2 linked regions of the Rhinolophus ferrumequinum genome follow. The protein of the gene in region 1 interacts with the protein of each later gene in a pairwise test. Links are inferred from orthologs where the notes say so. Each region holds a gene or a part of one and is shown on either strand. Other genes may lie near its edges. The genes, in order: CEBPG and CEBPE.

What was found.
Region 2: the proteins of CEBPG (region 1) and CEBPE interact in a two-hybrid assay, tested with the Homo sapiens proteins (2 studies listed by BioGRID and IntAct, with this or other methods). The link is inferred for Rhinolophus ferrumequinum from reciprocal best matches to the Homo sapiens genes CEBPG and CEBPE.

What each region holds. Positions count from the first base shown.
Region 1 is NC_046298.1:34,550,549-34,567,253, reverse strand, and holds the start of CEBPG (CCAAT/enhancer-binding protein gamma), read right to left. Parts: upstream 7,154-16,705; 5' UTR 6,956-7,153; intron 810-6,955; 5' UTR 716-809; coding exon 266-715; 3' UTR 1-265. UniProt on the Homo sapiens protein: Transcription factor that binds to the promoter and the enhancer regions of target genes. Binds to the enhancer element PRE-I (positive regulatory element-I) of the IL-4 gene. Binds to the promoter and the enhancer of the immunoglobulin heavy chain.
Region 2 is NC_046289.1:73,647,362-73,663,042, forward strand, and holds CEBPE (CCAAT/enhancer-binding protein epsilon), read right to left. Parts: upstream 6,409-15,681; 5' UTR 5,843-6,408; coding exon 5,333-5,842; intron 4,774-5,332; coding exon 4,438-4,773; 3' UTR 4,239-4,437; downstream 1-4,238. Other genes in the region: SLC7A8 (large neutral amino acids transporter small subunit 2), read right to left, coding at 13,007-13,167, 13,696-13,873. UniProt on the Homo sapiens protein: Transcriptional activator. C/EBP are DNA-binding proteins that recognize two different motifs: the CCAAT homology common to many promoters and the enhanced core homology common to many enhancers.

The sequences.
Region 1 (16,705 bases):
TTTTTTTTTTTTTTTTTTTTTTTTACCATATACCTTAAAAATTTGTTTCTTTATCCCCACAAAAATCCGTATCATTTAAAACCAGATACTCGAATTACATGGCTAATATTTTTAGATAATCAACTCTTCAGTGCTGATCCTAGAAAACAATCTTCAATGGATCTTTGAATAAAGGAACAAGACAGTGGTCAGCCATTGATATGAATGGTGCAGTCACACCTTCAACGTTCAAGCCACAAGTTGTGAAGTTTGGAAGGGGTGAGGTCTACTGTCCTGCATTATCAGAATTTGTCATATTTTCAGTGCTACTGGGTTGCACGTTGTCTGCAAGGTTGTGTGCATGCTCAAGGAACAAATCTTTCAGTACGCTCAATTCCTTAGTCAGTAATTTAATTTTTGCTTCCAACCGTTCATTCTCTTCCTTGAGCTGATTCACTCTCTGCAGTGTATCCTGTGCTTTCTGCTTGCTTTTCAACCGACTCTTTTTCACAGCCATGTTGTTCCTCTCTCTGCGCTGACGATACTCATCACTGTTTCGATCCATGGGAGAACTCTTTTTGCTTTGCTTGCTTGGAGGTACAGCCTTGCCTCCTCCCCCAGGGCCAGCGGGCACCAGCTGAGGAACTTGCTGTAAGCCGCTGGCATGAGCCGGAGTATGAATAACACTTATTCCATTCACTCCAGGAGTACTGTTCTGCTGTGATATCTTGCTCATTTGGGCACTCTCCCTTGCCAACAGAATAGGCAGAAATGAGGGCAAGGTGATCAATGGTTTCCACTCTACACTGCCAAGAAATCTTCACATATACCTAGTTAAGGAATAAATTGCATTAAAATATTTGAAATGACAAGATCAAATGAGATTAAACTTGCATGTACTTAATGGCAGACCAACATTGATTGATTATGCTGAGAAAAGTCTACGGCAACTGCCAACCGTTGCAGTGTCTCAGAAGTCTAAATCATTTAATCGAGACAGGTAGGTTAGTACAGAAGCACCACCGGGCCAAATTCAGCCCACCTGAACCCCTGAGGGTACTGCCCATCTGTGATTGTTTTCAAAAATGGGAGGGAAAACAAAAGAATACCACTAATTAGGTAGCACATATGAACTAAGAGCACTTGGCAATCTGCCAGAGAAATTTGAGATGTTTGGGTTAAACATGGAAAAGTTGAGTTCAATTATGATAGAATAGACACCTGCAGTGAAAGGGGGCTAAGTTTCAATTGTTGATTCAAGTCAAACAGAATCCTGCTGTAGGGGAGCCCAGCGCCCAGTATTTATCAGGAACGCTGTGATGGCCACATGGTTCCTTACTCCCATATGCAGCGAGTGAGTCATCAAGGATTTGCCAAAATTTTCTCCCAGAGCAAATCTTTATGGGATATTTTGAAAAGGTATTTTCACTTGTTTTTATTTTTTCAATGACCTCAAATGATAGTTTACAGAAATTTCCTAAGTTAGCTCCTTGGATCACAGTTTTAGGATTGCTGAAGGCACCCAATTTGCTTTCCCATCTCACCATGCTTCTAATAGTGTTTTTTTCTTCTTGACACAATTCAAAAACACAGCTATGCCGCCAACCTAAAACCACGAGGAAAGAAACAGAAGCCCTAATGATGCATCCAAGGGAGTGCAAGTACCGGGACTGGGGCTAGACTGAGCGGGCAGCTGCAGAGCCGGCCCCCACTTCATGCTGCTGAAGGCGCTCAGAGGACATGTGACGGCAATGCGGCCTGCAGAAATGAAGGCAGTTTCAGAAACGAGTCACACTTGCCTTACTATAAACCAGCTAGGGCACTACAACTGCCTCAAGATGTGTCAAAGCCATACCGATCCTATCATCATAAAGCCATCCCAAGGCAAATTGACTACTAAGCTGAGAGAACCGTGTCTACCAAGAAGTCACAGCACTCTTAAAACTTTAGAAAGCAGTGTTATGAACCATAAAACTATTCTGTTCTCTTTTCACAAAACTACTAAAACTACATCATGGAAAACAACCTGGAGCCACAATTATGAAATGCCTCAATGAGCTCGTCACAGCTAAGAAAAGCTGTTAGTAAACACCAGTAGCTTCACCCAAATCTTTAGCCAGGCATTTCTGTATAAACACTATTTGCCTGCTTTTTTAAATCTTTGCTTTTAAAAAGTCCATATAGCATTACTTTCCAGTGCTTTTAAAGCCATGCAGGCAGTCCTGAGCTAATGGGTCATCTGTTCTCACTCCAGTACTATGGCAAGACAGAAAGCTTCCTTCCAAGCCACGATGGATATATACTCCAAATCTACCCTCAGCAATGGACACTTCACAATTTCCTGATAATTTATTGTCTATTTTTTCACCCAGTTAACTGGCAGTTGAGTATTAATTTGAGCCACCTTTACCACGAACCGTCTGCACTATTGCTTACCTATTTGGTGTAAAGGGAACTTAAATGTTTTACTCAATTTTTAAGAACTCGTTTAATTTAACACCTCTTCTGGGATCCTCTTAACAATTACAATCATGTTATCTTATTTATCTTTTTTATTTTTCATATACCAATTATACATTTAGTCTTTAAAGCGAATCTCTATTATAGTTAACTCAGCGATAACAGTGATCTAAAGTACAAACTAGGAAACAGGTCAATCCTTGTCTTGGCTCTGGCTCTCTGTTTCACTTTGGACAAATCCCTTCCTTTCTGTGAGCCTCGATTTCCCCCTCTGCAAATGGGGGATGTAGAATGGTAAAATGCCTTCCAACTCTGACAATATAGCATGAACTTCATACAGTAACTAAAAACTCTTGTGAAACTCCAAACTCAGTGATGTTCATGCCCATTTTTGTACCCAAAGATAGGGTAGGGCTCTTTTATGTCAGTCTGACCCATCCTGCCAAGGTACTAGGCTGAACATAGTAGGCGAGGTTTTGAAAATGAGCCCTTTGTCTTGAAAAACAAAGAATCGTCAAACTGGTAAATAGTAAGAAAGGGAAACGTGGAGATAATTTAAAAAACTCCAAAATTTTTTTTTAAAAAGCTCTTCAACCAAAGAGAAGCCAAGATAAAGTGAAGAGATAGTCATTAAGGAAAATGAACCAAGTAAAAAGAGTCGGAGAACTAAGTGGTCTGAAAGACGTTAAGTCCAAACAGATTATCAATTTTATTTTTACACTGAGCAAACAGCTGCCTCTAAAAGTTACCCATTTTACAGTTTACACTGCCATTTGTGCTTCTGTTCCTTCCACAAACATTTGAGCACCTACCACGTGCAAAAAAATAAGTTAATTTCAAATCTGGATATTCAGCTGTAAATGAAAGTCTGGTTCCTATGCGGACAAATACTATTTATTACAAAGTTCAGTCTACAGGAAGCAGGGTGGCGCCTTGTTTCCTTCCATGTGAATCACTCAAGCAGGAAGCAATAGAAAAACTGAAGAGCAGTAGTGCTCAAAGCGTGGTCCTTGGACCCAGTGACATCATCATTTGGAACTTGTTAGACGTACAAATTTTCAGGCTGCCCCAGATCTAGGAAATCAGGAATAGGGCCGAGCAAACTTGTTTTAACAGGACCTCCAAGAGATTCGGATGAAACTGAAGTTTGGGAGCCACTGCTGCAGATTAACAATAGATCTTAAGAAAGATGGACTACGTGGGCAACTTGTTTTAAATTTCAGCTTTCCTAATTCAAGTAATGCTCATTCAAATCAGTAGCACGCTGAACACAAAGATGTTAGAATGTAAAACAAAATCAAATTTTTCTCAAGTTCCATTTGGGAAAATAAACCCGTCAAGAATTTTCCTTGGGGCGGCCGGTTAGCTCAGTTGGTTAGAGCGTGGGGCCTCTTAACAACAAGGTTGCTGGTTCGATCCCCACATGGGCCACTGTGAGCTGCGCCCTCCACAACGAGATTGAAACAACTACTTGACTTGGAGCTGATCCTGGAAAAACACACTTAAATAAAATAAAAAAGTTAAAAAAAAAAAAAAAAGAATTTTCCTTAATCCCCTTGTCGTTCTTTTTCACGTACACAACCAAATATTCCTCCCTGGTTCCCCCAAATAAATTTTTCATTCAAATTTCCTCAGTGAAGGTCTATACTCCAAAATATTCATAGATGTTTCTCCTTTGCTCCAGTTCTGTTCAATCACTGGTACAGGACAATTCTACCGACCCCACTCCACCCCCCAAAAAACCTCACATCCACCATCCCTCTCCATCCCCATGCCACAGAATTACCTCAGGCTGACATCATCTCTCAGGGGCACTAGTCTCCTCTGGTTTCTCAGTGATCCCTCCAGACACTGTCTCCAGAGCAATCTAACACTCCAACTTGAGTGTGTCACACTCTCTTGCTGAAAATTCTTCTTTGGCTCCAACATACAGGATCAAATCCAAGGTATTAACCCTCTCTCCAATCCCTACTCCCTTACACTTCACACCTTAACAATACTAAACCACTATCAGTCCCCTAAATGGTCCGTGCTTTCTCTTTGTGCTTCTGTCCAGCTCGTTCCCCCCATTTCTTTGTCAACACCAGCCCTACAGCGTGTCTCCCTGTAGACTAACCTCGAGGCAAGACTGTCTTCATCTCCACATACCCAGAATCTGGTGCAGGGCTAGGTATATAATATCCCTGTGGTGCTCAAAATACTTGTAGTGCTCAACAAGTATTTGTTGAATACAGGATCAAAAGGCTAAGAGAAAACATATTTTTATAAATGTCTTATGAAAATGAGACTCTCTAGCTTTAAAATCTCTTAAAACAACTGCAATTAAATCAAGAGTTATTAGGATACCATGGTCTTACTACCTCAAGTTCTTGGTCTTTCTTAAAAGGTGTACAGGAAAATAAAAACACAGTTAGTTCCATTTGCTACTTCAAGTCCCCAGTCTATACAGTGACTGTATTCATTCTTGTCTGGTCTTTGCTTCATGTCAGTTGAGAGCCTTCACTTTCTACTTTGCCCGGTTGTTTTCCAATTAATAATGTCAAGTTCTTAGACATGTGTTGCCAGGATCTGACAACTCTGTGCTACAAGTGAAGTCAAAAGCAAGCAAAGTCAACAGACACCCAAATGAGCAGTATTTCTATTTAGTTACCACTGCTTGCTTCATGACCCAAAATAGGGGTCCATGAAAGAGGGTACATCCCTTCAGGGAGTACATAAGTATGAGAAACAAATGTATGTTCATTTGTCTTTTTTTAATGTCCTTTTTTAAATCCACTTTTGGTTTGATTTACAACATACAAAAAATAGTCTACACCCATTGTTTATAAATATACACCTGTTAGTAGGTCATGTTCTTTTTTTTTATTGATAGGCCTGGAAAGCCAAAAAGGTAGGAGATCAATGTACCTACCAGTACAAGAACCCACGAAGTGTCCCCTCCCAAGAATACACAATAAACCTGGAATTGCGGCTACGTGCATTCACCATTACTGTGATCAGGTGAGACAATCTTAGAACATAAGACCAAATTCAGCCCCATGAGGTCCTATTTGTCTTTACCAAGGACTCCCCATGTGCTATTTAAATCCCTAGGGATGAAACCACCTCTCCATGATCAGACAACCTTGCTGACAGTCATGATGTGTTCTTGAGAATTTAAAGGATATTCTGGGGGTGGGGGGAAATGCAGGCTTCCACTTTTTTTTTTTTTACAGCAGATATTAAAAATGACTGAATCAGCCACGTGTGCCCACCAGAAGCAGGAATCAAGAAACTGAAAAATTCAGCTCCCTAGCATTCTATAATTATTTAACCTTGTTTACAGTAAATTCTTCCAAAAATATTCAACTTTAAGAATAGCTTATCCCAAATATTACTTAAGTGGTAATAACTGACCAGATGTTAACTTTTAAATATGAAGAACTTTTAGATGCAGAGTTTCTTAGTACATCAAGCGTTTATCGTATTTTACTTCAAAAATTTCTTTGGGAGTCACATAGCCTATCTGAATTAAAGAACGATCTCTTCAAATAAGGATTCAACTGAGTGTAGGCTCAGAGACAGAACTACCAATTTTTGTGCAACCCACAAATGTTAAAACCTTTCTGAAACTAACACATTTTAAGATGCCAGATTAAGCATAAACCTCAGACAAGAGGAAAACCAAACAGTTACACCTTCTGAAGAAAACAAACATACAAGCCTACTGGGGAAAAAAAAGATTCCCGTTCCCCTCAAACCTGCTAATCCATCCTCTCCATCTCAGACACCTCTCCTGGCTATTTTCCTTACTGTGTTCCCTCCACTGAGCTAAGGAAGCAATTCATTTCCTGCCATTCTCTTTACTATTCAACTCGTGGCTGTTGCACATTCATCTCACCTATGTTCAACAGTAAACTGCAGGGTATTCAAACTATAGCTCCACAAGTGAGCATAATAGTATTTCTGTAAAGTCACGTAGGTAAAACATCCACTGGTTCCCCTGGCTACTTTATCACTCTATTAACTTCTGAACAGAATTCCCGACGACTCCACACTGAGCCGTTTTGGCGGGTCAGAAAACATCCCATGTAATACTAAAATAAGATATGGTCCACCTCCTGCTATTCTGGGAACACCCTTTATCCCCAGGGGCCAATACGAGCCTGGCTTGTCACAACTACACGTTTCACAGAGGGCCAGGGTTTGGAGTGGGCGCCCCTCGTCTTTCATCCCGTCTAGGGCCGGCGATGAGGGGCGCCCGAGAGAGGGGCGCCCGGGGTCCGCGGGTGGCGCCGCGGCGCTGGGCGGCGGCCAGGGATGAGCTCAGCGTCCCCGCCGGGTGTTGCCGGCAGGTTGCATCAGACGCCGCGCGGGGCCGCCGCCCGCGCCGCGGGCCGCGCGGGGCCTTCCCGGCTAGCCGGCCGCCTCCGACCCGGCCAGGTCTCCTCGGGCCGGGCCCGCGCCCACGCGAGCAGCCGGCGCGGCCGCGGCCTCCTCCTCCCTCAGCCCGCCCGCCAGCCCGCGGCCTCCATACCTGAGCCTCCGGCCCGCCCGCCCCCAGGCGGCCTCCACTCCGAGCGGCCCCGCGTGGCGCGGCCCGACCCGACCCAGGCCTCGCAGCCCACGAGTCAGCGAGGAGGAGCAATAGTTACGAAACCCGCAGCCTCCGCCCGTTCCGCCGCCGCCGCCACCGGCTTCCCCTAGTCGCCAGGGCCGCGCGCGCTACCGCCGCCGCCACGACCAATGGGAGGGCCGGCTTGCAGGCGACTCGCCCACCCCTCGCGACGGGCAGCGCCGCCAGCCAATCGTGGGTGGCCTGGCTGCGGGAGGCGGGCACGTGGCGGAGGCGTTGGCCTCGGCCGGTGGGGCTGGCGGGCGTGGCGGGAGCAGATGGTTACTCGCAGCGCCGCCCGTGGTCCCTCGGCTGTTCGCGTGGGCCGGCGGCCCGGAGGGGTAAACCCCAGCTGTAAGAAAGGCTCTGTGGAAGTTGGAGAAGCGTAGCTTTGTGAAGGCAACACTTATCTTTGGAAAGCGCAATATCCTAAGATGATTGAATCACCGAGTTCTTTTTTGGTTTCACCAGGTCCTGGGGCGTCCCTCACAGGGACAGTTTCCCAGAACGGCCCACTAGAGTCGCTTCCCAGGATGTGGGGCCCGCCGCTGACGCCTGACCTCCGACGGGCCCGGGCCCCTCGGATGGAACCTGGAGAGAAGTCCTGGACCTCACGGCTATGAAGACAACTGTGGACTTGAAAAACGAAGGAAGCAAAATTGTCCCAACTATGATTAGTGTTGATATCACATTGGTGAACACTGCAGACTGTGGTTCGTTATTGGAGGAAACGAATTGAATTTCCATGATCGATTACCGTGTGGTGTCTGCCAGGTGAACAGATTGAGAGACGTGATCTCAAAGAATGAATGGCTCTCCAACTTTGTTTATCTAAGTCAATTCACAGGAGGATCTGAAAGCGTCTGAAAACCAGGAAGCTGCGCGCTGGCTGGAGGACAGAGCCCGCTCGCCCGATAGGTTTGATTGTTTCCTCTTTAGCAATTCTTATCGTCCAAAAAATAGTCTTTGAAAGAGGAAACATTTCTTCATCGCCCAAGCCATGGGACCAGCTTTGTGCCTAAGACTGTTTCGAGGAATCAGAAAAGACATGCTAAAACATTTGCAAAAAATAAAAATAAAAGGACTGCAACTAAATATGAACAACGATAAACATAGAAGCGTATTTGGTAGAGTAACACATCAACAAAACCAGTATGCTTCTTTCACTTTGGCCCTCTGTTCTGAGTTGAAATTTCTTTGATCAAAATGTTAGCTTATTAAAATTGGATTATATTTTGTACTCTTAAAAATCGTAATTTTACCCTGATCATTGCCTAATCACCTAAATATTGTATAGGAAAAAAATTGTATTGGTATATTCATTTATTCTCTTGTTTGCTAACCACTCTGCCAAGCTGGCACAGCATTCTTCGTCTGTCTGGGAAAGCCTTCTCCCACACTCAGCAGGTCTAGTCAATGCCAAGGAGACGAGTATTTCCTATTCAGCTGGGAATTCTGTCTTCTGCTGGTTTACAATTTGTGTGTGTGTGTGTGTGTGTGTGTGCCAACTATGTGCTAAGCTGTGGGGATTTAGCAACAAATAAGACGAACACAGCCCTTTCCCACACGGAGCTTACACTTTAGAGCCAAAGAGACAGACATGCAGTAATTATACACTTTTTCTGTTAACTATATTACGAGAAAGAAGTACAAGATGCTGTTAGAGATTATAAGAAAGGAATCAAATCTGGCGTGTAGGTCAGGGAAGGCCTAAAAGAAGATGAATAGGATTTGTCTAAGTGATACCCATGAAGTGAATGTACCAGTCAGAGGGAATGTCTTACCTAAAGGTCTTTGTGATGGGAGAAATTTAAGGCCAGAGTGGCTGAAGCACAGTGTCCCACTGGAAAGTCAGCCACCACCTCCCTGTGTGCTCACATGATCTCTTTGTGTACATGCAGGGAGGAGAGAGCGAGAGAGAGCTGGTGTCTCTTCTTATAAGGGCACCAATCCCATCATGAGAGGACCCTCATGAACTCATCTAACCCTAATTACCTCCCAAAGTCCTCATTTCTAAATATAATTCCATCATATTTGGCATTAAGGCTTCAACATATGAACATGGGGTGGGGAGGGCCACAAACATTCAGTCCATAATAGGATGTCAAAGGAGCTAAATGAGAGAGCCCCGCCCCAGTGTCCAAAGAGCCCCAATGCCAATTTGAGTGGCAAAATAAATAATGTAATATTGGGTTATAACCCAAAGTATAAAATTAATATCCATGAGTTCATGCCGATATAAATAAATGATTGAGTAAATAAATGTCAGAAAAGAGACAAATCTCCCATGCGGAAGAATTCCAAATAATTTATGTAGATACTCTCTTCTCAGATGGGGGAGAATAACTCCCCACTCTTTTAGTGTGGCCCGCACGTCCTTCCGAAGAGCAGAGCATGAAAGGGAAAAATAAAGAGAAATTCTACAGTGGAGAAACCTGACAAACACTGCTACAGCCAGGTGACCAAGGTTCACTCAATAGACATACACCATGTTGATACGTGATGAAAATGGCACTTGACCTCTTTGATCTCAAGAACTCATAAGCCCAGTCTAACCAGGAGAAAAATACCAGACAAATTCCAATAGAGCGGCATTCTACAAAACACCTGACCGGTACTACTCAAAACTGTCAATGTCATTAAAAACAAGGAAAGTCAGAGGAAGTGTCACCATCTGAAGCATCCTAAGGAGACATGTAGTGTGGTATCCTGAACGGGATCCTGGGATAGAAAAAGGACATTGGATAAAAACTAAGGAAATCCAAAAAAAGAATGGACTTTAATTTATTTGGTATTGTGGCTCATTAATTGGCTCATTAATTGTAACAAATATACTATACTAATGTAAGATGTTAATAATGGGGGATACTGGGTGCAGGGTAAATGGGAAATCTCAGTCTTTTCAATATTTTGCAACTAAAATTGTTCTAAAAATAAAATCTGTTTAGGGGAGAAAAAAAGCATTTGAGATACATTACAGGGTTAACATTAACTTAAAACAGAACACTCTGAAATATTAACAAATCAAAGGCAGCACAGACTTCAGCTAAATTGATAAGGACGTTGAGCGCAGAAAAGCTTTGAGCCGCAAGTCCTACCTTGCTCACTACTGGTGACTGTGTCTCTGCCAGGCAAACCCAAGCCATGCAGAGAAATGGAGCCAGAGAGCGGGGGAACAGGACTGCAGGGACTCCTCCAGGAGGGGAGGAGGTGGCAAAGAGGGAAGAAGAGGCGGCGGGACAGCACTGTGGGGCTGCCAGAGGATGTGGAAGCCCTGGGAGTCATCTTTGGGCTACTGAGGGACCCGTCCTCAGAAGGTCCACATGCCAGGTCAATCTCTGGGAGCTGCAAGGCCGAGATGAGAAGGAAATGAAAGCTTCCTGGACAGAGGCATGTGCTTGTCCCATGTACTCACTCCTGCATTCTTTTTCATCTGTCTCAATTATTAGTTGAGTCCCCACTCTGTGCCAAGCACTGTCCCAAGCGCTGGCAGTCCTACAGAACAAGGCACTGGGGCTGGGGAAGTGGGAGGCTGGTGCCCAGCCTATGAGAAGGAGGCCAAGAAAGCACCACCAGGCTGGGTGGTGCTTGAATTTGTTGGCTTAGAGTCAGGAATCTTCTAGGCGTTTCTCATGGATTCTTCCTTTTACATTTTTTTTTTTTTAGGTTCCTATAGTAACAATCAGTTCCTGTGCAAGCTTAAACGTGGATTCAGATTTACTTGGGCGTGGTGGGTGGAGATACCAGCATCCATTCACATAAATATTGGGGGAATTGGGCTGGAAGAGGAAGGTGGAGATTGTTTCATTTTCCCTTGCAAAGGTTTTTTGGGGGAAAGCTAGGATTTGAAGGGACAAGCGCTGTTGTAGTCCTTATGAAGAGAGTGGCATTTCCCCCATCATTGTGAACCACCCCATTTCTTCAGCCTGGTAGGAACTGAAGTGAATGCAGAACTGCTTAACGTCTCTAGGATTTGTGTTTTTGTGAACCTCAGGCATCAACCCCCTTTGGCATATGGGCAACAAGTTGGAGAAAAAAAAGCTGAAGCAGAGGCCGTGCTAAGGGGCCTGTCCTCCAGAGACTTTGATGATAGGCGATACCAATGGTACGGTACACTATAGTGGGGTCCCAGGAGCTGCCAAGAAATACCTGGTGATGGAGGTTGGAGATTTGTTCTGTCACTGTTAAATAGACCTACTGTAGCCACAGGTGGGAAGGCTTGGGCAAACTTCAGAGCCAAAACAGTAAATGTCCTTTCAAAAATTTTCTAGCCTTATCTTGCCTCAACCAGGGTAAAGCCAAAGGTGCAGCAGCCTGAAGAGCTTATGAGATCAGAGTGTGTCTTGGGCAGAGAGAAATGGGGGGGGGTGGCGGGGTATGAAGTGGAGAACAATTGAGGAAAGCTACGAATGCCCACTACTTCTGGCGTGCTATCTGGCGGACAACTCCTTCTCAGCTCCACGTAGCCAGTTCCTCTCCATGCCTCAAGCCCCAAGCCAAGTCTCAACTCTCGGCCTTTGCTGACTATTCAAGTTCTTGCTGGCCTTACTCTTTCTTCTCATGGCATACATGTAACATTAAGATATACATTATGGTGTGCTTTTTGCTATTTTTTTGTCTGTCATACTCTGTTCTTATAGAAAGGTAAGGTTCTGTTTTACATACATACTGCTGTGTCGTGTACGTATGAGGTTTTAGAAAACACAGCTGGAGGGGATGAGAGACTTTGTCCTGAGTAGGGGTGCACCACGGCGTCCATTGCAGTCTACCTCTTGCACTGCTTGAATCCACTTATTACTTATAAGAAGTTAATCCCATCTGTGAATAGCTTCTCCGGAGTTTTGGATGGTCTCCTGTGCTGGAGAAATTTGCCAGAAGATAGCTAGCGGATGAACGATGGCTGCTGCTGGCCCCAAGGCGCACTGATGTTCATCACCTGCCTCCCCTACTCCCCCTTCTAGGTCACCCTCACTGTTGGCTAGCACTCTTCTGGCCTAAGCAGCTTACCTATTGGGGTGACCCACACCTTCATCCTTGAGAAATCTCTACCCTTTGTTATCATGTCCTTTTAAGGTCTTGGCCATTGTACCTGTTCATTTGCCGTCAAGATTGGATAGGGGATCCCTCACGCAAAACAAATACGTGAAAAAATAAACCAGAAACTAATGAGATTGGTTACCTACAGAGGGTGAGTTGGAATTGGATCAAAAGAATGGGGAGTGGGAAGAAGGTAGCAGAGGTGAGGGGGACGGTGATACCTCTGTGAGTATACCTTTCTGTACAGCTCTGACTCTGAAACCATGGTAAGGTTTCACACACCTCAGAAATAAATAGTGAACACTAACTTGGATGTGGGAGGAACCCAAGGTGAAATACAAGCAGTAACCTACGAACCTAACTGCACTGCAAATGAACAAATAAGCACTGTGGCGAAGAGAGGAACTAACCTGAGTAACTTTAGAAAATAGCATTTTGATTGGATAAGGCAAACTAGAAAAAGAACCACAAATAATAGGCAGTAGCTACGAAATTTTTCAAAGGGGAATGGTAGCAATTCTGGAACTAGTTTATGTGTATGCTAGGACTGAGCAAATAAGTAAATACATTTGGATAATGAGAGCAAGCTTCCCACTGTTGGAGAAAGGAGTTAACAAATAAGGAAAGAGGAAGACTACAGTGAACCCTGTGGTATTAAATTGGAAACAGAGGTTATCAGAATGAAATCGACTGTAGTATATACACAGATTGAAGTAGAAATAAATATGGATGTGTGCGTGTGACAGACTATATATATACATATACATATGGTATATATAGCTTTGTCCTCTGAGAGGACTTAGAAGCAATGACACCCCAGTAGCAACGATCCCACCTAGAGACCAAATCAGGGTTTCTAAATATCTTTTTACAGTGAGAAGAGCTAGGGCTTCTTGTAGAGCTGGTTGTTTCCAGAGATGGGCAGAGAAAAGACAAGAAGAATCGGGCACATTTCATGGTGCCAGAAGTAAAGAAATGCTCAAAAAATGATGGGGACATTTCAAAAGAACATAGAAGTTAATTTGAAGAAGTTCCCAATGGCTAGATGTGGGACAATTTGAGTCACAAAATAAATAATAGTAATGAATGATAACGTGCCGAATAAAATAAATATCTATGAGCTCATACTGATGTAAATAAATTACTAAATAAACAAATAAATAGCAGAGAAGAAACAGCTTTTCCTTACAGCAAATTCCAATTAATAAATGCAGAAAAATGACTGAAATAGCCAATTATCATTAGACAAACACTGCAGGAATAATTGTTGCAGGTATCAATCGTCAATGAATGTTAAAATCAACAGATGAAAGCATGAGAAACAGGATATTTACATATTCTCCAAGTATCTCCTCACAAGATACTTACTAGTTACAATGGGAAAAAATAATAACTTTGGTATAGTATGATTTCACTCATGTGTGGAACCTGAAACAACAAAAATACTCACAGATACAGACAACAGACTGATGGTTAGCAGAGAGGAAGGAAAGTAGGGGAAGGGCAAAATGGGTAAAGGGGGTCAAATATATGGTTATGAATGGAAACCAGACTTTTGATGGTGAGCATGCACTAGTGTATACAGATATCGAATTATAATGTTGCACACTTGGAACCTATATAATGTTATTAACCATTGTTACTGCAATAAAAAAATCTTTGGGGTATAATAAATTTTAGATATAATAAAAATGGCAATTTCAGCTATGTTTAGAAAATTATGAGGACAGTATATATTAAATTTTGCGGCTATAGTCAAAGCTTTAGTTACTCAAGAAAAGTCATAGTTTTAAAGGCTTGTGTTATTGGAAAAGAATAAATGGGCAAACATTCCTTTCGGGGAAGTAAAAGGAGATTTCTTTATCTAAAGCCTGATATTTATGAAGTTGCTCAGGAGACATAAGGGAGTCATAACATGAAAATATGAATGACTATGCTTCATGAATTGGCCATGGTTAAAATTAACCCTCACTTACACATTTCCTAACCCAATAAGGGATCCATTTTGAGGGGTCAGTGGAATAGAATACACAAACAGCAGATCTACCATGAAGTGAAGCTGCAGAAAAGGCCAGATTTCACACGGTCTGTGAAAGTCATATTGGTGGCTTGTCTTACTTACAAGCAAAGACATTGACAGAGGTGGATAGGGCAAGATTCAGACAGGTTAACCCCTGAGGAAGGGAAATCGGTGGATAAAGGATACTGATATGAAAGAAAATGAGTTAAAGAGCAAAGGGAGGCTCTTGGGAAAATTAATAAAGTGACCCTCTTTGTCATCACATTGCAAAAGCCTGAAAGGAAATCTATAGAATATCATCACAAACCATAAACGGAACACCTGGCTCATTCTGTTCATTTTAATTGTGCCTAATTGCAGTTATCACCCAAGTTTTCTGAAATATAAAACCGACTCTTAAATTAAAAATAAATTAAAAAAAAAAAAAAAACCGACTCTTTGTAACACTTGTTTAATTTTCAAGGCAAAGCCCCAATCATATTTTTTTCACTATACTATGAAATTTTGGTTCCTGTTTTAAGTCGATTCACTCCAATTCCTTTTTTTCTTTTTGCTACTATTTATTCTAGGATAATGAGGACCGCCCACAAATTAACCTTTCATCAGCAGTTGATTCTTCATGTGACTTTCTTTTTCTGATTGCTGAAAAAGTGAAGGCAAAGGTCTGGAGGCACTTTCAAACTCGTGGGGCAACTCAGAGATGGAGTTAGCTGCTGCCCTGGCCCCACCTCAGAAGGGCTTGGTGACTGTGGGGTCCTCTAAGGAGAGGGCACACACTGCTCCACTTCAGTTTTACCTGGGCCACTGTGCCCTGGAAAATGGAAGATCGGCCCTAGACAATCACAGGTCCTGATGACTGTACTGCACTTAGTCTCAGCCCTTCAAGTTCAACCACTTGATTTTCCTGGAATCCTCAATGACTATGAAGTGGAAATCACTCCTTTGGCCTGCTTTGGTGTTCGTAGGCCCTCCTTTAGCTCCTCCCTTCTCTCTTACCTCACACAGGGCGTCTCCAAAGAAACCGACTCCTCTTGATTACCACTGATAACCTGTAGGAAACAGGGCTGGAAGGTGCACCTTTGGAAGGTGACGTCGGTACCTGAGCCTCACAGAGAAGGCTGTCTTGCCTTTTAGAAATCATTTGAGTCACACATGAAAATGATCACTGAGCTGGCTGCCAGTATCAGTGTCCAGGGTTTGGACTGACAAGTGGTTGTTTTTTTTTCCCCCCCTTGGAACAGTGAATTCCAAACTTCTGTGCCAAAGAAGAGATGCGTCTGATGGTGCATGAGGCATGCCAGGGCCTGTTCTGACACTTAACTTTTGTATTTGTACTCCAGACCTGCATGCCACTACTCAACTGTGACTCTGATAAGGCTTGCAGTAGTTTTTAAAACCTGCTGTAATGTGTCCTTTTTCCAAGAGAGGCTTCAAGGTCAAGTATTTTTCTATTATCCTATTTTTCAAAGTTTATCAATGCATGGATTTTTTTTTTTAAGTTAAACTTTTGGGTTTTTTTTTTAAAACCCCAAAAAACTTAAAACTTAAAAAAAATTTTAAGTTAAATTTTTGGGTTTTTTTTTTTAAGTTAAACGCAAGTATTACCATAAATTCTGTGCTCATTTTTGGATGCATGCTCTAATGCAGTGAACAATCCATGTGAATGTCCCCACCATGGGTGGACCTCTCCAGCGCCCGAAGCTGACTGGCCTTCAGCTTCCTGTTGATCATAAACTGAAAGAAACCTACCACCCAGCCCCCTCAGATTTGCTCACCCAGGGATTTCTAAGCCACACCATGGTGGGGATCTTTCCACCACTGCTTTTTCCAGCTGTGGGATTTTCTAATCTAATTTTTCGTACAAAAATGCTAACGCAGTTGGTTAACCTGACTTGTGTATTTTTGCTTCAAGGTACTACCTCAGGATTTTTAATGTTTTACATTAGATATTGAATATTGAATCCATGGCTAAAGTGATGAGTCACTAACAAACAAACAAAACTTGATTTCCCTCTGGGGGTGTGCCTTCCCTTCTTATAATTCAACCTGTACATATATCTGTCATGGCCCAAAAGGGCGTGTGCAATTAGTTCAGTGTGGGAGAATCTCAGATGATTAGCTACAACCTCAGTGTTTTGCAGGTGTGACTGTTGTGGGCAAAACCAGTTAATTAATTAGACTTGAACAGTCTGTGAGCCCAATGTCTGCCCTTGAAATTCACTGAAGCCCTTCCCAAAAGAAAAAAAAAAAATAGAAAATGAAAAAAGGATTAGTTATGTCTTTTAGAACATAAATCAAAACTTTAAAATTGTTTCAATAATTCTTAAAATGTCAGTAATTGCCCTAGTTCCCTGTGCTTAAAGGGATTTATTAAGAGTTGTTTTCCCATGACAACTTAAAATAAAAAACTCTTGAGTTGAAAAAAAAAGGAACTAGAATGATGGGCTTTGATGGATTCAAGTTACAATTGCACACTCACTACTTGTATGGTTGCAGCAAATTTAAAGGGGCAGATGTCCTGTCTGAAAATAGACTCTGAATTGACACATCAGCCTGTGGAAGGTAAGGAACAGTGCTGGCGCCTCATAGCACTCACCCAGTAAATGGGTCATCCC
Region 2 (15,681 bases), on another chromosome or scaffold:
AGCCCTAACCTCAGATGGTGACAGAGCTGGAGCTAGCAGGGGTTTTGCAAACCGTCCCGATTGCAGCAGGCCGGCAGTCTCACTCGGGACAGGCGGGTGGGGCCTGGGCTTATCTCCCAAGTACAGTCCTAACCTCAGATGGTGACAAAGCGGGAGCTAGTAGGCGTTTTGCAAACCGTCCCGATTGCAGCAGGGTTGGATGGCCTGGCCAGGGGGACAGTGCTAGGTGTGGGGGCAACAGGGTTTGAACAGTTTGGGGCTTGGTTAGGGGTAAAGCTTGGCTGATGGGACATGGGGGATGGATCCAATCTATGTATGGCTTGCCTTACCTACCTCAGATCTCTGTTTCTACAAGAGAAGAGGCTACAGCTCTGGAGGTGGGTCTCTCCCTATTAGGCAGCCTTTTTTTCCCCAAGTCCCAGGACCTTCCCGCTGCTCCCTGAAGTCAGAATTTGTGGCCAGTTCCAGCCATTTTCCTTTAAAAATACCCACCATCTCCCCATGGGTAGCTCTGGAGAATTTCTTATGTGCCACTAGAGTTTTTCTAAGGCCAGGCCAGACCTGCTTATAGGAGCAGCTGACAAAGCCAGCCAGGAGTCCTATCCAGGTTGGACCGTTCCCACTTTGGAGCAGCCCAGGCTGAGTCCTGAGAGGAGAGAGGTCTGCCTGCTAGGGGCAGGTTGAGGGTAATGGGAAGTGACTGGCCTGTGGAAGAGGAGGTGCACAGGCCCTCAGCCATCCTTGGCTCTTGTTGCCTCAGCATCTCCTCTACTGCCCCTTCCATCCCGTAGTCCCCTCACTGGCTTGGGGCAGGGTAGGGGGTGGAGGTGAAGAGGCCCCTTTCCACCCCCACAACCCCAACCGGGATCTTGCAACACTGGGATGGGGGCCCTGGGGGCCCGGGCATGTGGCAATCCATGGGGGTGGGGTGCGGTGGGGAGGTGTGCACGGAGCAGGGAGAGCGGCTTTCACAAGCAGCCTCCACCACGGACTGACCTTGGCAGGCTCACCTTGGGCAGCTTCCTCCCTTTTCGTGGTATCTCCAAATAGCCTTTCTTCCTTTGAGGCTTCCCTGGGGCCTGTGATCCTATCTGTCAGCTCAGGACTCTCATCCTGGTGCCCAGGTTGGCTCATGAAGGAAAACCGGGCCCAAGCTGTGGATTGTAAAGCAATAGGAATGCATGTGTGTACTATTTGCACCTTGATTGGCTGGTTTTCCCAAGTTACCGAATCCCCAGGCCTCCAGCCTTTCCCCAGGCAGAGGGCTGGCTAACTGCCCTCCCTTCCTGGGGACTCCTCCTTTCTGCCATCTGTTTTGCCTTTGGTGGGAGCAGAGATATGCCCGCTTGTTCATCCCACCCCAACTTCTTAGGGACTGTTCTCCCCAGCGGAAGGAATGAGCAGAGTTTCACAACTTGCTTATCCCTTTGCTCCTTTCCATCCTGCCAGCTTCCCCTGGGCTTGCTTTCTTTTTCTCGTTCCACTCCACCCCGACCCATATACTTTAGGGCCTTAGCATTTGCTCTCCCCTCTGCTCATGTTCCCCTTAATTTGGCACATCTGCCTCCATCTTGAAGTTTTTTAGGTTTCAGCTTAAAAGTCACCTCCTCAGAGAGGCCTTCCTTGACCACTCCAGCTAAAATAGCCTCCTTACTTGTTTGTTTATGTGTTTTCCCTAATGGGCATATTCAAATGGAGTAATTAGTGAGTTTAATTAAGGTGCTATATAGAGATGTGAAGGAACAGGATGAAGGGAAGGCAGCAAGGAGTGGTGAAGTGGGGCCGGGGGGAGCTGTGGAGAGTCCAGTCCTGTCCGGGAGGGGTGGGGACAAGCACTAAACTTCACTCTCCTGTCCCACCTGGAACACGGCAGTATGACCAAGGAGGTGCAGAGGAAGGCACTCAGCACCCTTGTTTGTTGCCTTTTTCTTCCTGCCCCTTCAGCTAAGAGCTGGGTTTGTCTTGGTTACTGCAGGGCTCTGGATACTTTGCAAGGGTCTGTCACAGGAAAGATGCTCAACACATACTTGTTGAATAAGTTACTTTGGCTGAAACCAGTTTAGGTCAGGTTAAAAGCCTCATTCCGAAAGTGTGGCTTCTGGCTGCCTGTCAGCTCCCCGGGATATGATCTGCCACAGAGGACTGAGGTGTGCCTGTCACTCCACGTCCCACTGGGGCCAGGCATGTCCTTCTCTCCCAGTTGGGCTGTGGCTCTTCTCCAGTCCCGGTGCCAACCACCTGTCCCGAGGAGCCAATGGGGCGGTGGGGGCTGGGAGGAGACACACTTCAGAGCTGTGGGAAAGAAGCATGGGGTTGAAAATAAGTCAAGGGGCAGTGGTCTTGAGCTGAGAGGAGGAAATCCGGAGGTTGAGTCACTCAGCATGTTCTGTACAAACCCCCCTTGTGCAACCCATCCCCCTGGGCTGAAAGGAAGGTGCAGGATTCTCCCAGGCATCCACAGAGACTGGCACCTCCCCCTTCTAAACTCAGGCGGCCCCTGGCAAGTGAGGGAATAAACCACCTAGGGAGGTTCAGATCTGTCTGCCCAAACCAGACTTGGGGCGGGGGATCCAGGGCACAGATGTAGGAGAGATGGTGCCTGAGAGACAGGGAGGTAAAGGCAGGAAAGAGACTGAGCCCTGTGTAAGGCAGGCATGGTGCACACAGATGCCTGGGGGTATGGGAACATTCCCACACTGGGAATGTGGAGCGAGAGAACAGGGAGGCCCCAGGCCCCCGGCTCTCTGTCTCTCAGAAAGTTATTCCCAGGCTTTCTCAGCAGTGGCCCACAAGTCATTAGTGACCTAGGAGAGACTGTCACTAGCCTGAATTGTGCCTCTTGCCTTGTCTCTGTCTGGCATTCCCAATAACGTACGAATGGGATTCAGGTGCCCCACTGTGTGCTGTACACCTCTGAGGGGAGGTGTGAGAGCCGAGGAGAGAGACAGGTGCCCTGTGCTGACAGCAAAGGGACTGAGTGAGCTTCAGGAGACCATCTCTTATCCCCTCTGGCCCTCAACTGCTTTATCTACAAAATGTGGCTCACACTATCTTGCTTGTCTGAGGGTAAAGCCTACCGGATGATCTCTTGAGGTCTTTTCCAGCACCTCTTGAGATCTGTGATTTTATGGAGCTAGTTTTGGTTCTGCTTCTAACCAATTTCATGACTCCGGGTAGGTCCCTTCCCCTCTCTGAGGCCTCACTTTGCTCACCTGCAAAATGAGAAGTTTAGATGAGATCTCTGAGGTCCTTTCACATCTAGCAAAATGGAATAATAACAATTATTCATGCTGACCCTGTGCCAGGCTCTGTTGATCTGTAAACATAACAGCATTATGAGGTGGGGACTAGCAATACTCCCATTTTGCAGATGAGGAAATTGAGGCACACAGAGAAGTAACTGGCTTGAGGTCACACAGCTAATAAATAGCAGAGTGAGTTTCAAACTGAGGCTGTCAAGCATTGTACTATTTTGCTTCTTAGGCGAGAGTTCCGTGATAAAGCAAACGCTTTCAACATGGGGTTTCACTGGCACAGGTGGGTGTCATCCTCCTCGTCATCAATTTTCTCATATGCAAACAGGACTCAAGGCCTTTCCCAACAGATTCATCCCACAAGCACCCAGATCCTCATGCTTTACGGCACCTGAGTCCCAGGGGATAAGGGACAAAGATGGGAGTGGGTGGAAAGGAGCCGTGGAGGCATGTCAGTCTGGTAGACTGAAGCTGGGGATCTGAAGAAAAGGGATCGAGGCTGGATTAAGAGCTAAGGGACCACGGCAGAGCCATGTGCAATTTTCCCTTGGTCACCTGGGACAGGAGCTCCCAGACTGATACCTCAAGGTGAGAGAGAGGCTGGGGTCAGCAGGCCTGGGCAGAAGGGACTGGGTGGTGCCGGATCTCCCTCCAAGCCAGAGCTCTGTTAGGACAGTAATCAGAGGCTGCTCCAGGTCCTGTGGGGTGGGGGTAGAGGTGCCTTCAGTGTCCAGAGAACAGAGTCAGTGGTGGGGAGGAGAGAAGAGAACAGAGTGACGGGCTCACAGCCTGGCCAGGGGAGTTCTTGGGGGCAGATCTGTGGGTAGCAAGTCTGCTGAATATTTGGGAATACTCCCAAATATTCATTTGGGTATGGAATCAAGAGCTACATGTATGCCCTTGGAGTCCCCCATGCCACACAAGGAAACACACACACACACATACACACACACACACACACACACACACACAGTACAGCCCCAGCACTGAGTCATAGTGCAATTTTATTCAGCCACAGAATCATAATGCTGAGGCCTGCCCTCCTCCCTTGCCACCCGCTGCCATTTGTCCATGGTCTATGTCTCAGGCTCTGCCTGTGAGGGGCTCTGGGACCCCAGCAGGGTGGGGGTCCCCAGGGTCAGGCTGGGCCAGGGGGCTGGTGCCCACAGTCTGCCGGCTGGGCTCAGCTGCAGCTGCCCACACCCTTGATGAGGTTGGCGGCCTCCGGGATCTGGCGGAAGAGGTTGCGAAGGGTGTCCAGCTCCTGGGTCAGCTGCTCCACTCGGCTGCGGAGGCGCTCGTTCTCTGCCATGTACTCCAGCACCTTCTGCTGCGTCTCCAGAATGCGCCTCTTGGCCTTGTCCCGACTCTTGCGCACGGCGATGTTGTTGCGCTCCCGCCTCAGCCGGTACTCCAGGCTGTCTTTGTTCACCGCCTTCTTGCCCTTGTGTGAGGAGCCAGCTGGGGAGGGCGCCTTGAGAAGGGGGCTGCAGGGCGGTGCGGCAGCGGCCAAAGGGGCCTGGAGGGGAAGGTACAGAAGCACAAGAGGTGAGGGCTGGCCAGGAAGCGGAGTGGCGACAGGGCAGGAATGCCTGAAGCCAGAGCTCCCTTGGGCATCCAAGGGACATGGGATCTAGAGCCAGCTCCTGGCTCCCAGTCAAAGCAGCCATTGCTTTGCCAGATGCATGGGGTCCCTGCTCTGACCACAACTCTCTTTCGTGTTCCCACGCTCTCTGAGGACACTTCAGTCTCCTGTTCTATGATCAGCAGGCATTTCCCCTTCGTGAAGCCGGAGGTAGAGAAACAAGAGCAGGGGGCTGGTGGGCAGCGGAGAAGCTGATGGTGGGGGCGCTGAGGTCTGAGTAGGTCAGATGTTCACAGGGATTGCAGGACACAGTGGGGTTCAGCGTGGGAGTGAATTCACAGAGAAGCAAAGCAGGGTCATGGTTGGGTGGTGGGCACAGAGGGCTTCGGGGTGGGTCATTTTCACAGAGCAACACCAAACACAGACCCGTTAAGAATTAAAGCAGGAAGCTCTCCAGCCCCCCGGAAGGCAAGGAGAATGGACCTGCTCTTACCTTGAGGACGCGCAGGGGCTGGCTGGGTGCTGCCAGGGTTGGGGGCAAGTGCATGGCTGTCTGCCCACAGTGTGCCACTTGGTACTGCAGAGGATTGTAGCCACTTCGGCTGGCCCCTCGGCTGCCCTCGGGCCCCCGAGGCTCCTCCTTCACGGCCACGGCCCTGGGGTCGTAGCTCCCTGGGCTGCTGTAGATGCCAGGCCCCAACGCTTTCCTGTCGGGGCCGAAGGTATGTGGAGGGTAGGCGAAGGGCCGTGGGTCAGGCGGCAGGTAGTGGGGGAAGGCAGGGTTTCCGGGGCCCTTGAGGCCTCGGGCCTCTGGTGCTGGCTTCACAGAGAAGAGGTCGGAGAGGAGCTGCTCCTCCCCAGACTCGATGTAGGCCGAGAGGTCGATGGAGGCCTCATGCTCACACATATCCCCCAGCTCCCCGGGCCCCACGCGGCCCCCTGAGAACTCGAGTGGCTGCTGGCCAGCCCGGGGCTCACACTCGTAGTAGGTCCCGTGGGACATGGCCGGCCCGCCCCCTGGGCTCCCCGCCCCTGAGCCCTGCTCTTGGGGCACCCGTGGGATGCTTGGCCTGCCCTCTCTCTATCTCCCCCTGCCCTAGATCTGCCCTAGATCTGCCCTCTCGGTCTCCTCTGTCACCCACTCCTGTGTGGCCTCTCTCCTCCCTCCTCTGCTGTTTCCTTTTCCTTCCCCTGTAGTCAATGCCTCTTTTCTCTTCCGTTTTTTTCCCCCTCTCTCCCTGGGGTGACTCAGGGAGGGGCAGGGCGCACCCCGAGGGAAGGATGCAGGCCTTAGAGAAATGGGGCCCCGGACTATTTAGCGGTTGGGGCACGCTTTGGTCAGGGTCCAAGCCAGAGTTCTGAACCTCCCAGGAGCTGATGCTTCTGGGAATGCCTCTCCAGTCCCTGTCGAGTCCAGGGGATTCCAGAGTCCTCGCCGAGGGCAACACCTCCCTCTGAGTAGCCTCCTCCCTCCGACTTCCAGAAAGTTCTTTGCAGAATGAGGTGGCAAGTCAGAACGAACGGAGAACACCCTCCTACAGTGCCGACCCCCAGCCTGGGCTGAGCTCCTCCCTTGACACGCCTCCCTCTCTGTACCCCCAAGGGCTCCACCCCCCCCCACCCAGGGGCAGTCCGTTCCTTTTGTAGCCCCACCTCCCAGGTCATCCTCCTGGGTGCATGCCAGGGGGAGTTTAAGGGGTCTAGGAAGTCGTGATAAGTTCTGGGAGCAAGCCATACATGGGGCATGTGTTGTGGCGTAGAGCATGCTTATTTGCTAGATTTTGCACAAGATCTGTGCAATAGCCCAAACCCTCATGTGTTGCCAGCCCTGGCTGGCTCTAGCAGCCTGGCACTGTCCCTGAGTGCCTGGCTTGGCTGAAGCCCCTGGGCAGGACTTGGGCTCTGTGCCCCAGGCCCAGGCAGGCTGCTGCCCCAGGAACCAAAAACTGCACTCCTCTGGTGGCTCCAGTGCCTTTCTCTTCCAGCTGTGCTGTGCTGCCAGAGCCTCAGGCTGGCGCACTGCCCTGCTCTGGTCCTGGGGCTCTGCCCAGTTTCCTGTGCCCGGCCGCAGGGCTCAGGCACTCGCTATAGCTCAGTTTGCTGTCTTCCCTTCTTCATGGCTGTTCTCTGACCTTGATGTGTCTCTTGGGTCCACTTCCTCTTGTGAGGCTTGAGAAGCCTTGTCTTTTGTCATCACCTCTTCCTGGGTCTCTGTTTCAGGGTCTACAGGAGAATCCCAGGGCTTGTTCTCTGCACTTTTAGTCTCATGCTGGGTTCCCTCTTCCTTCCCTTTTCTTTTTCTCTGGGAACTCCCCACTCCCTTCTGTCAGAGGCACTGGCTGTGACCCTGCTTTCACTTGTCGAATTTCATCTACTATAAAAGGAACTATATGTCCAGTGACAAGGAAAGGACACATAGAAATATATCACTGGCTCTTTTGTCACTAGCAACTGCTGTGGGTACCCTGTAGGGAGGTGGAAGGCTTTATAAGGTAGGCACACCAAGGGCCAGGCCACAGCGGGGCAAATGCAGAGGGGATATGTGTAGCATTGAACACTAAAAGAAAGTATGCAAATGTAGACAGGGCTGCCTACAAGTGAGGCAAGTTACCCCTCTAGTTAGTATCCTCTCCCTCCCTCTCTCCTCCCGCACTACCCCAGGAGCTTTCTGTGCAGGGCTTGAGGTTCTTTCTCTGAAAGCCCTGACTTGGCATGGGAAGATCTGTGTGCATCCCAGAGACAGATCTCGGGAACCAGGAGGGGAGATTTCTTCCGCCTTCTCCTGATTTCTAAGGACCCTGGGCAGACAGGTACCACAGCCAAGTTACTTCAGTTTGGCAGCAGTGCCTCTGTTGACCACCAGGTGACAATATTGGTCCAAAATTGAGGACTTGAGGGGCCGCGGTGGCCAGGAAGCAGGTGGACAACAGAGGGCAGCCTCCCACAGCCCTGGCACCCACGAGACAGGCTGAGTCTGTAGGGAAGGAGGAAGAGGAAACATGGCTGGGATGAGGGCTTGCAGTGCAGGCACAGAGAGAGTGGGCAGGCTGAGAAGACTGGGGCCCGGGCTTTGTCTCAGTGAGAAATCCTATCCCTCCCCAACTGTGAAATACTGGTGATGACAGCGAAAGCCTGGCATTTTCTGGTGTGATGCTTTCCATCGTTGAAACATACTTTTCCATGCTGACAGTTTCCCTGTGAGTTAAGTAGGAAGGTAAGCAAGACAGACAGTATTTTTATCCTTGCCTTATAAATGAGGAAAACAAGGCAGAGAGGCTGAAGCCCAAGGTCATACAAGGATACAGCATTGATCTTGGGGGAAAGGGCCATGGCTAGTTCTTGAAACCCCAAGGCAAGAAGGGATAAGGAAGGGAGAGCTGTGTGATTCAGAGAGCCTTCTTTGCTCTCAGTCAGCCACCCTGGGGGAGAGGGAGACTGCGTCAGTAGTGAGTGAACCAGCGCTGGAGGAAGCAGGGAGGTGTGCAAATAGAGCTGGCAGGAAATGAGAAAATCAGGCAGCTCCGGCCATGGGGAGATAAGTGATCTCCGTCCCTCACCTCCCAGGCTGGTGGCTGACGGGGTTGCTGGCACACTGACATCAGTGCTTCCCAGTAACCAAGGGGTTTGGCTGGGCAGGAGAAGCTCTGATGTCTGGGCAGGGGAGAAGGGGTTGCTGGGTAGGAAGGGTGTTGGGGAGGGCAGTGCCAGTCAAGGGCTGGGGGATTCTTGGGTTCTGCATAGTCGCTCAGGAGCAGAAAGAAAGCCTCCCTGGTCAGCCAGATCTTGCCCCTGCAGTTGCTACCTGTTTGCATTAATTGAAGCAATGCACGTGTATTATCTTACTTTGTCACTGGCCTCAGTTCAAAGGCCATCCCTTTCACCATGTCTTTCCAACAGGGAGGTGGCTGAGCATGGCCGTGTAATGTCAGAGAGAACTGGGCTCGAATTCTGCCTTTGTCATCATCTCGGTGACCTTGAGCAAGTTACTTAATCTTGTAAAATGGCAGTAGTTGTGCCTACTTTGTCAGGTTGTTTAATTAAACTTTCATAAGATAATGTACAGAAAGCAATGTTCAGTCTCTTTCTGCCTTTCCGCTGACCACCTGTTGTGGTTTATCTGTGTCTCCTAAGCAGATACACTGTCTGCAGCCTCATCTGATGCCTTAATTTGACAAATGTTTTTGAACACTTAGGTACCAGGCCCTATGCAGGCTCTAGGGATCTGGCAGCTTCAGCCCCTGGGTCCAGCAGGAGTGGCCAGTGAGTGACGCGGTAAGGACGCGTCTCTGTGCTATGAGCATTCTTGCCTTCTTCCCCTGGAGACTATCTGCTCCTTGAGGGTAGGGTCAGATACATCTTTCGGACCTTTTTAGCTGTAGTGACCGTATGCTCGAATTAAAATTAGGGACAGGTGGTTTGACGTGTATGAATATTCTTATGGGGAAAATGAAACAAAATATTTGAAGTCTGTGCTGAGTTGAAAAATTCAAGAGTAAGTTTGCTGTTCCACAGCATATAGCAAAATCCCTGGACACAATGGTTATAAAAAGATTTGTTGTGTGACTGTATTAATTAATGAATACTTAAGCAGCTACGATTTCAGTGACCTCCAAAAGGCTCCCAAGTTCCCTGAGGTCTGAGTATCTGAGTTCCTAGCATTAAAGCGACTGATAGGATTAAGACAGGGGAAAGGCCCAGGTTAAAAATAAATGCATGTTGCTCAGGCGGAGACCCACATTTGCCCATTTGACCAAGTTGAAAAGATCAGCAAGTGTCACCTTACAGAGAGAGAGAGAGAGAGAGAGAGAGAGAGAGAGAGAGAGAGAGAGAGAGAGAGAGAAAGGGGGAGAGACAGAGAGAGAGAGAGAGAGAGAGAGAGAGAGAGAGAGCGCGCGAGCGAGCGGGCCCCCAGGGACAAGTGTCTCTATGGAGAGGAGATTGGAGACTTGCCGGACTTGCCAGAATGAGGTGACATGGAGAAGACCTCGTGCAGCCCAGGGAAAGGAAAAGTGTTTGTTGGGGAAGAGGTGAACCCAAAGGGTGGCCATGAGACTTAGAGAAGGGTCTCTTGCACAAGACTGGCCTCTGCCTAGTTTTGCCCTCACTCTTTTGGGACAACCTTGGGCTGGGAGATTGAGGAACACTTTGGAATTAGGTTCAATGCTCTTCCCCCTGCCCTCTAAAAGTGCCAAACTGGTTGCCATGCCCAAGGACACATCGCTGTGTGGTGGCTGACCTGGGATTCAGAGCCAAGCCTGTGCCCCTGTGAATGGTGAGCCTCCAACCTTAGTCTAGAACGTCAACCGCAAAGTAGGAGTGTTGGGGTCGGGAGGACACGAGTGGAGGCATCTTGCCTGCTTGTGTCCTCACAGTGTCCCAGGTGTGAAGGGTGATGTCTTAACCCCCCTCCACCCCCGGGCCCCCTCCTGCCCGTGGCTTCCAGCAGTGCTGACTCTGGGATGATGCCGTCCCAGGATAGGCAGCTGGGAGGGATGCCCACAAAGGAGGGACTCCAAGCAATGACAGGGTCTAATCCTGTCAACTTCCTCTAGCAATTAACCCAAAGCATCGGGAGGCCCTAGCCCCTACCTTAACCACTTCTTCATTTGTGCTAGTACAAGTCCTCCTACTCTTCCACCTAGAAATCTTCCTATTTTGCGGAAGTCGACTCCAGCTAAGTAGACCCCACGTCACCTCTCAGGCCCTCCCCTCAAGCTCTTGGGCCCAGCTGGGTGCTCTCCAAGATCCCCCTCTGTGTCTCTGCACAAACTCAGGCTGTCCCTTCCTTTGCCATTCAGCTCTGGCAGTCCTGGAACCAGAAGACTTTGCTGACCACCGGGCCTTGGGGACCACCTCTGCCTTTGCCTCCATGCACTTGGTGCCCACCTTGGGTAGTGACGAGGTTCTTCCCAGCCGGCTAGTCTGCAAGCTCTCTGCACGGCACACAGCAGGAACGTCATAACACTGTGACTTCACGGAAGAAATGAGAGCGAGTTTTGGTTCAAAACAAGAGGTAGCTGTTTGAAAGTGCTGGCACGGGGTCGCTGGGACAGAGCGAGGGCTTTGAGGAATGGCATCCTGGAAGGAATCTGGCAAGCAAAGATCTCCTAACAAGATAGGAAATACCTGGCGACTCTGTCTCAGAAGGTCATTGAATTACCATACCATCGACTTCATCTCCATTTTACATTTTATTACATCAAAAGAAAAGCCCCCCCCAAACAAACCCTTCACAAAACAAACAAACCCTCTAAAACCTAAACCAACTCAAAGACAGAAGATTATTATCCAGGAATAACTAACTCCCTACTCCCCAAAACCACCTTACATTAAAAAAATCCAAAAGAAATAGAAATACCAGCTTCAAAAATATTTATCCAAAAAGTAAGGCATCCACTTTACGAACAAAAAAACACAACAATAATTGAAGGGGGAAATGAGGTTGGAGGAATGAGAAGGGGGAACAAGAGGATGGTCCCCTAACCCTCCAAGGGCCAGCCCCAGCCCACCTGGAGTCCACTCTGAAGGGGCCATAGCTCATACCACACCTGGCAACTCACCAATGCAGGGTCAGGGGGGCTGGGCCAGAAGCTGGGAGACCTGAGCAGGCCAGGAGGGCTCCCAGAGTATTCCAGTTTAAGCAGATGGGCTGGGGAGTTGGGGGAATGGAGGAACTCCTGCTTTGGGATAAAAGGATCCTAGTCCTTAGCACAACAGGTGTGGTGGGGAAGGCTCGAGGCCCAGGGCAAACACTGCCTCCTTCCTTTGGAGCACAAGGAAAGGCAGCCTCTGCCAGAGTCCATATACCACGGACAACAGGCTTTCCAAGGGGCTCCAAAGTGGGTGCCTTCTGCTATTCCCCTCTCACCTAGCCCTGGAGGCTGTCCAAAGACAGGACAGAGGTGGAACCGGAAAAGAGGGTGGGGTTATCTGAGTTGAGGAAGGAGCGAGAAATTGGCCTTCAGAATACACTTTCTCCCCAGTCTAGGAGGTTATGGGATGGGTACTTCCGGGGAGATGGGAAAGCACCCTTCCTCCTGGAAAAGCTTTTCATACCAAGTCTGCCCTGAAGGTTAGAAATCAGGGAGTATTTTTAGGTCCAGTTCTTGGATGGGAGGTGACTTAAGGCTGATTTGGCTCGGGTTTCAGGCCTGAAGAGCTTGGGGAGCCTTCACACCCAGTCCTAGGTCCTGGAGCCAAAGTCCAGAGAGGAGGAAAAGGGCCTGACGGGGGCACAGGCAGTGCTGGCTGCGTGGGGGTATGTTGGGAGCATAGCTGCAGAGTGACAGGGTGCCTGCTCCTTCCCATGGGGGTGGGGAGCGAGGAGGAGCTGAGCTGCTTTGTCATTAGGAGACATCTTTCTGGTTTCAGGAAGCTTTGGCACCCAGTTGGGGGCAGGAGGCAGGGGCAGGGGCAGGGCTGGGTTTCTGCAATTTGAGCCTTTCCCAATCTGTTCCACAGGCTGGCTGGGCGTCAGGGGAGGGGCAGTTATTTTGCTTTGTTGGTCCTTAGCTCAGTCGGGGGTTGTCCTGACAGGAATCTAAGTCTGGACAGGGAGCCCATGCTGGGGAGGGTGGAGGCACGGTGCAGAGGGGTTGGGAAGAGGGAAGAAGGAAGTACTGCCTCTGATTTCTTGGGTCCCTAGTGAAGGGAGGGGACACTAGTCTCTCCAGGCGACCTTTAATAGTGACAGATTTGCTTGAGTCTGTCCCTCCCCAAATGGCTCACTCTTGCTTGTTGCTGCCTCTTCTGGAGGAGCTGAGGCCTCCCTTGGGCTCAGGAATGGGGAAGGAAGGCAGTACTGAACTCATGCTCCTGAGGAGGCAACAAGGGTGTGGGCCCAAGAGGGAGGGCCCTATGGGGACTCCTGCAGCTCCACTCTCCTCTAGCAGCTCGGAGCACTGGCAGCCCTGGCCTTGGGCTTTGGACACAGGTCCTGGGGGTGAAGTTCTGGTTCTTTGGGTACAAACGTTAGTGTTTTTGTTTATAGTTTCTCACCACCCACCCCCAGTTCCTGCCCCTGCTTGACAGAAGCAGAGGGTGTGTATGTGTGTGTGTGTGTGTGTGTGTGTGTGTGTGTGTGTTGGGGGGACCCAGGCAGGGAAGGAGAGCAAAAAGGAGGTGAAGGAGGGAGGACGCAGCTGAGTGGGGATGGTGGTCCTCAGGGCTAGGACTGTTCCACTGAGTCCTTGGCCTTGGAGACAATGGGTTGGTTGATGGGCTGCCGCTGCTCTTCTATGTCCTCATTTATCACATCTGTCCCCGAGCTCCCATCCATTTCGGGGTACACGACCACACACATCTTCTGGCTCACCAGGGTTAGCCACTCTGTGGAAGAAGGTCACACGGGAACCAGGTCAGTGCCCAGTGTCCTACCAGCCTGGTGGGTCATGCCCTTGCCCACTCTCCTGCCCTGGGTTCTGCCTCAGCAGAGCCACAAGTGCCTTCAGGAGACACCTCCTCCAGGAGATGCCACTTCACCTGTCTCCTGTGTCAGTGGGCAGCATGTTTGCCGGCTGCCCCTTGCTCATCAAGGCTGCAGTTTTCCACTGTGCCTATGCCCAATGACCACCAATTCCACGGTCTCCACTGGTCTCTACCCAGCCCAGGGCAGCTCCTGCAGAATAGCTGTCAAGTTGCCTATACCTACAGGTCTGAAGTCTATGTGGAAACATCAGCTGCTCTCTCCTTAGAGGACCCTGGGAAGGTACCCGCCCTTTCCTCACCCCCAATGCCTTCCCCAGAGCTCTGGGGCCCAGCCTAAGCCTCTTGATTCTGGTGGGGCTCCCCTGCCCGCCCATGACTCTGGCCCAGATCAGGAGGCCCTCTAGCCACCCAGAGCCTTCAACAACTTACTGATGAAGTTATTGAAACACTTGGGCTTGTGTTGCCAGTAAACACCCAGGAAATAGACAGGCACTCCTGTCAGCATGATGGCCAGGCCGATGCCACACACCACGGGTTCCGACCACAGGCTAAAGACCAACAGGAAGGCCCAGAACAGCAAGTAGATGATGGGAAACAGCAGGTTGATCTGTGGAGAAGAGGTACTGTTAGCTGTGTGGCCCCCGTGGCCCCAGGATCAGGGCCCCTTCCCTCTTCTTCACCCTCAGGGAACATCTCCAAGTGCAAAGGCTGGGTTTTATTCAGTTCTGTGGCTGTCACACCCTGAGCCCTGATAGGGCAAGTGCTGTGTCAACAAATGTTGGTGAACTTGGGCAGTGGGCCAAGAAGGGGGGGTACCCAGGGAGGGAACAATGCTCATTGCCCACGTGCTCCCTCCTAGGTGGGGTCAAACAAGTCCTTGTCAACCATGCCCTGTGCCTATGGCGGCCAGAGCAGCCCGTGGGGACTGGTAAGCTTGCTGGTACATTGGTGTATGCTTGCTGAGGTCCTAGGGAGGAGGAGAGGTGGAGAAATGAGGGGCAAGAATGCAACAACCTGTGTCAATCAGGCTCCCTGCCCCTTGCCCACTTCTAAGCAGGACCCTCCGCTAGGCCCGCGGCAAATGGCCATCCCTCTCATCGGATCAGTCCCAGTTTGTCTCTCTCAAGCAATTTGAGAAGATACATCTGTCAAGACCCGAGAAATCAAGAAACCTAGCAAGTACAAGGCAATCTGGGGCCTTGACTTTATTCAGAAAGAAGCGTCTCTCTCTGGGCTTCATTCCTTGTTGTTGACCACAGGTGGGAGTTCCCAGTAGAGTCCTCATCATGCCTCTAGATTCAGCTGCCTTTCTCCTCCATGTCCTCTCCTCTCCGAGAGTATGCGTGTGGTGGGGAGATGGGCTTCTCCTACCTCCTCTGCCCTCTAGCAGGCATTCTAAGAGTGGTAGGAAAGTGGCAGTGGAAAACAGAGCTTTGGAGAGAGCCCTTGATTTCTCAGCTGGAAGAATCTTCAAGTAGAAGCATCCAGTCTCCCTCTGTTTCCAAAATAGAATTCTTCAAATAATTTAGGGCTATACCCTATTCTTCTAATTTGCAAGAAAATACCGTATTTTGCCATGTATATTGTGCACTTTTTTGCCCAAATTTGTGAGGGAAAAATAAGGATGTGCATTATACATGGGTGGTACTAATTCCGTATCTATATAAATGTTTTTAATTTTTTTATTTATGCTTATGAGTTAAAGTGTAATTCTGTAAATCAATAACAATATTTGTATGAAAAATAATATCCTGGAATACGACAATTGGTTGTGGGGACAGAGCCAGGAGTGCGGTTTCCAGGCTCTCGGCCTCACGTGGAAAGGTGCTGGCTCGGGTAGTAGATGGCCATCAGCTGTGACTAGTTGGCCATCAGCTGTTACTGGTTGGTTAGTTATTAGCCACTGATATAACTGCCGTGGCTACGCTAGCAGAAAACAGGGGTTAGCAAGCGAATGGTGGCTGGCAAGGGCAGGCTGCGGAGTGTGGATTGTGGATTGCAGAGAAGTGGATGGCAGATTGCGGATAGTGTGGCTCCTGCTTCCTGTGTCTCCAACCCAGGCGCCGGCGAGAATATAGTGATATGACTCCCCTATGTATGGTTCCGTGGGTGTTCCTTTTTGGCCTCCCCATATCCTGTGTTCTTATGTAGGGAGCGGGAGCTGAGACCCCGCATGACACCCTGCATGACATCGGTTTTGTTGACAAACTTGCAATGATGAAGAGTTCTTGGCCTTCTAGGATGTGTAAATATCATAAATTTGTTACCACTACATAAAAGTTCTTGTACCTTGTGTTTTGTAATTCTATGTTATATAAAATTTCTTGCACCATAATATGTTAAAATAAATAGGAAAATTCCTTTATAGTACAAAAAACAAGTATCTAAATGTAAACAAATAAAAATTTGAATTCA